2 linked regions of the Solanum lycopersicum genome follow. The main gene of each other region encodes a partner of the protein of the gene in region 2 in a complex. Links are inferred from orthologs where the notes say so. Each region holds a gene or a part of one and is shown on either strand. Other genes may lie near its edges.

The links. Proteins that work in one complex are often made in the same cells at the same time.
Region 1: trafficking protein particle complex II-specific subunit 130 homolog (region 2) and trafficking protein particle complex II-specific subunit 120 homolog share a complex: the UniProt entries of both Arabidopsis thaliana proteins name them as parts of the multisubunit TRAPP (transport protein particle) II complex. The link is inferred for Solanum lycopersicum from reciprocal best matches to the Arabidopsis thaliana genes CLUB and TRS120.

Annotation. Positions count from the first base shown.
Region 1 is NC_090805.1:43,730,619-43,732,991, forward strand, and holds part of trafficking protein particle complex II-specific subunit 120 homolog, read left to right. Parts: intron 1-791; coding exon 792-1,669; intron 1,670-2,373. UniProt on the Arabidopsis thaliana protein: Specific subunit of the TRAPP II complex, a highly conserved vesicle tethering complex that is required for the proper transport of proteins in post-Golgi trafficking pathways to the growing cell plate in mitotic active cells.
Region 2 is NC_090806.1:68,363,662-68,366,304, forward strand, and holds part of trafficking protein particle complex II-specific subunit 130 homolog, read left to right. Parts: intron 1-159; coding exon 160-358; intron 359-611; coding exon 612-1,157; intron 1,158-1,247; coding exon 1,248-1,460; intron 1,461-1,707; coding exon 1,708-2,095; intron 2,096-2,189; coding exon 2,190-2,286; intron 2,287-2,386; coding exon 2,387-2,471; intron 2,472-2,643. UniProt on the Arabidopsis thaliana protein: Specific subunit of the TRAPP II complex, a highly conserved vesicle tethering complex that is required for the proper transport of proteins in post-Golgi trafficking pathways to the growing cell plate in mitotic active cells.

The DNA.
Region 1 (2,373 bases), on a different chromosome or scaffold from region 2:
AAAGGAGGAAATAGGTAGAGTAAATGAACTGAGCTTACCAATTCAGAAAGATGTAACGATATGGTAGTTGTCTTTGTTGCTTCATTCTTTTCAGTTTCCAATCCAAGCATCCATGTATATGTAAATTTTGAGTGAAATGTTCTATGCTGAATCAGAAGTATGTTGGTGATGCTGGTATTTCTTCATGGTTTATTGTATTAGACACTGCTAACTAGATCTTGCTTGAAAGATAATCAAATTGCCTTTGTAAAGGCTGGTTGTACTTCAGCGTTTATTGTATTGCACATTACTTACTAGATCATGCCTGAAAGATGCTCAAATTACCTGTTTGAAGGCCAATACATGTATTGACCATATCTTCAGCATATAGTTAGGAGTTTACTGATAAGCTCATAAAATCAGAAGAATTCTAATTCCATCAGGAATAACCTTTTTTTTATCATAAGAACTATTCTTTTAATGTATTCCTGTAGCTAACATACTATTACTAATGGTGGTAAACTTGCAAAAGACTATTTGGAACTTCTTTCACTAGTCTCTCTAGAAAGAAGTAAATTTAATCTGGTTCGATCTTCATAGTTCCTTCAGATTTTACTATTATTAGTTTTGCTGTTTCAGAATGATCTTCCCGCATACTGATACTCTAGATTTTATGGTATCTGCAGTTGCTGGCTTATTTCTTTCCTCAGACTGATACTGGTTTTATGGTGTCTGCAATTGCTGACCTTATCATCAGAGTTCTTATTTTTGACAAGAACCTAATTTTCCTTTCCTTGATACATATGCTCCAGGTTGCATTCTTTTCCACTTCATTCCTCCCAACAGGATATAGTAAAACGTAATCATGGGAGAGATGATTGGTGGGCAGGGTCTGCTCCTTCAGGACCTTTTATTTACACACCTTTCAGCAAAGGGGAGCCAAGTCAAAGCAGTAAGCAGGAGCTGATTTGGGTTGTGGGTGAAGCAGTACAAGTGTTTGTTGAGTTGGCAAATCCTTGTGGTTTTGATTTGAAGGTCGATAGTATATATCTATCTGTAAATTCTGGGAATTTTGATGCTTTTCCCATCAGTGTTAGTCTGCCTCCTAATTCCTCCAAAGTGATTGCATTATCTGGAATTCCTACTGAAGTAGGTTCATTAAAAATTCCAGGATGCATTGTTCATTGTTTTGGTGTTATCACTGAACATTATTTTAAGGATGTGGATAATCTTCTAGTGGGAGCAGCTCAAGGACTTGTGCTGTCTGACCCTTTCCGCTGTTGTGGGTCACCAAAGTTGAAAAATGTTACGATTCCAAATATTTCGGTGGTCCCCCCGTTGCCATTGCTTATATCACGTGTTGTGGGTAGTGATGGTGCTATAATTTTATATGAAGGAGAGATTCGTGAAGTACAGATAAGTGTGGCCAATGCAGGTACAGTTCCGATAGAGCAAGCCCACATCTCATTATCTGGGAAAAATCAAGATTCAATCCAGTTAATTGTTTATGAAACCTTGAAGTCATCCCTTCCTTTGAAGCCCGGTGCTGAAGTGAGAATACCTGTCACTTTAAAGACTTGGCAGCTTGGACTTTTGGATCCGGATGCTGCTCCTAGTAAGAACATATCTGGAAGCACCGGGAGGCAAGTCAAGGATGGATGCAGTCCTGTGCTGCTGATCCACTATGCGGGTGAGCATTCAAATACTGATTGTTGGAGGTTAGGTGATAGACTAGGAAAATGAAACACTGTGAACTTGGGATGCTGCATCCTGGTTCTACGAACATATATTAGTGCAACAAGCTGGGAAAGTCCCTGCACTCTCTAGGGCCCCTCTTGTTTGTGTTGCTTTCCCATCAATTATGAGGGGTCCTTTCTTTTTTCTTTGTTTCCATATGACTCAGAATGTACACAATGCATGTGGATTTGGATATGGATGTTGATATGACTTTTTTTTAAAATTTTTTTGCATAACCACTTGTTTTTGCAATCTGAAAGAGTCAGTCAGGCTGGTGGTGAGCTTCTGCAACAACATGAGAATCATATTTGTTTAGAATGAAATTGAGAGAGATAAATGTTAGGGACCAAATCAAATATTGGCCATGAAATTGGGAACAAAGATAGAACTTACACCGTGGGTATACATGGAATATTTTTGTACAATACTAAAAGACAATGTAAAATGATGGAAGTGTAGGATGTCAATTAGTTGGTCACTAATCATGACATGATTACGTGCAGAGAGTTTTAGTTAAGAGAACATTCTGCAGCATGGGATGAGATTTTATTTGTTTTGACTTTCCGTTTTGTTTCTGAAATGTATTAGCCTCATGCTTTAGTCAGTCATTTGAGGTTCATGATTTAGACTGTTATTTACCTGCCAATTTTTTTGTTA
Region 2 (2,643 bases):
ACTCTTTTGACTAAAGGATGTTTTCCTGAAGCCATATAGTAAAAAATCTAAAATTAGATTAGAACATTGGTGTTAGTTTCCCTAAGAGACTTCACATTTTCATATGTTCTGTTGTAACCTCAAAGGCTGAGATCTTACTTTGTCGTCATCTGGTGACAGCTCAGGTTCAACGTCTTCACCAGCAAAATCACAGTCGATATCAATGTCAAGAACTAACTCTTCTCCTGGAAACTTTGAGAGCTCAATGAGCCGACCTTTGAGGCTTTCAGAAATTTGTGTTGCTGCTGAACATGCTTTGCGGAGTACAATTTCTGATGCAGAACTGTGGAAATCATTGTCTTCTGTCCAGGAATTTGAGGTTCCTATCTTCTCTCAGGGCTATATGCGTACCTTTGAATAGTAATGGTTCTTGGAATACAGTTCTGTATACTACTTGTGAATAGGCATGATACCACTAATTGGAGTTCTGCATATATTTTATTTAATTGCTTGTGAATTGGACACCTTGACATGCATTATTCAGCAGCAGATAATCCTTTGTATTTATGTAGAGTCATGTTTTGTTTTATATTCTTCATTCTTTATGCAATTCTAATCAGTTTTAATCTCAGCAAAAATACCTGGAGCTGTCAAAAGGAGCTGCCAACAACTATCATCGTTCATGGTGGAAGAGGCATGGAGTTGTACTTGATGGTGAAATTGCAGCTGTGTTCCATAAAAACAGAAATTATGATCTTGCTGCAAAATTGTATGAAAAGGTTTGTGCTCTTTATTCTGGTGAAGGATGGCAGAATCTTTTAGCTGAGGTCCTTCCCAATTTAGCTGAGTGCCAAAAGGAACTTGGTGATCAAGCTGGCTATCTATCTTCATGTGTAAGATTGCTCTCATTGGATAAAGGATTGTTCTCCAGCAAGGAACGTCAAGCATTTCAGTCTGAAGTGGTTCGTCTTGCTCATAGTGAGATGGAGAACACCGTGCCTCTAGATGTGTCCTCACTGATAACATTTTCTGGCAATCCTGGACCACCACTGCAGCTTTGTGATGGAGATCCTGGTACGCTCTCCGTCGTTGTATGGAGTGGATTTCCTGATGACATTACTCTAGAATCACTTAGTCTAACTCTCACAGCCACAACTAATACCGATGAGGGTATTAAGGTATTCTGTTTACTCTCTATAGCATCTCCTCAAGTAGTTTTTAGAAACTGCATCTTCTAGTGCAATAAGCTTTTATGAGCTTTTTCTCAGGCAATAAAAAGATCCGGTGAGACGATATTAAAGCCTGGAAGGAATACAATCATGATCAATTTACCTCCGCAGAGACCCGGTTCTTATGTTTTGGGGGTTCTTACAGGGAAAATTGGTTTACTAAGTTTTAGATCTCACAGCTTTTCAAAGGGTGCTCCTGCAGATAGTGATGATTTTATGAGTTATGAGAAGCCAACAAGGCCAATCTTAAAGGTAAAGGATCTTTTATATAAGTGGAGAGACGAAAAAATGAATTGTGAAGGCTGGGATGTGTATTCCACAAGGAAGAGTGCCATCCTTCGTTTCTATCCTCAAATATTCTTATTGATTCTTTTGTATGCTAATGCTCTACAATTTATTATACAGACTGATTATCTGAAATCTTTCTCAAAAAGAAAAATGATCTTTCTCAAAATGATTATCTGAAAGGCCTTCTATATTTCTTGAACTTTTTTGAAAGGTGTTCAAGCCAAGGTCTCTGGTTGATCTTACTGCTGCTGTTTCATCTGCTTTATTGATGAATGAACCTCAGTGGGTTGGAATAATTGTGAAGCCAATTAGTTACTCTCTCAAGGGTGCAATTCTGCACATAGACACTGGTCCTGGGTTGACTATTGAAAAATCTCATAATATTGAAATTGAGAGGCACGTAATTGGGCGCACAGATGAGTTAGACCATTCTGAAGGTTTTAAAGATGATGACAGTTCCGCAGCTACTCCCGAAGTTAAACAAATGTCTCTTCATGATGGAAATATTGAGCTGCCTGATTGGGCAAGCAACATAACTTCTGTTTTGTGGATTCCTGTGCGTGCAACCAGTGATGAACTTCCTAAAGGTGCTCCTGCAGGTGATGATTAATAAACTAGTGGTGGTTTAAACAGCATAGTCACAGCTCCATAAATCTGTTTTTTCACTTCCTAAACACCTGTTTTACCTATCAGGTGCAGTTGCTCCGCAGAGACAGAACCTAGTGGAGGGACTGAGAACAATAGCTTTGAAACTTGAATTTGGGGTGTCACGGAACCAAATATTTGAAAGGTTAACCTTCCCCACTTTTCATTTCCTACTTCTAATTTTTGGCACATTTTTATGCATATTCTTGTCAGTAAGACTAGTCTGGAATCTAACTTCTTTGCAGGACAATTGCTGTGCACTTCACTGACCCCTTCTCTGTAAGTACACGAGTTACGGACAAAAGCGCTGATGGAAAATTGCTTTTGCAGGTAATCTTTTTCTGCCACTAATGTTTGGTGGTGACTTTTTGGGTGGATGGGGCGTGGGGGTGAGCAGTTACAGGCTAGAGAAGTCATTTTCTCTGTTGATCAGTTGGTTATTTATAAGTATTTTGGATGTCAGGAGTATGTAATAGAAATAGAGAAGAAAAATAAGTGACAA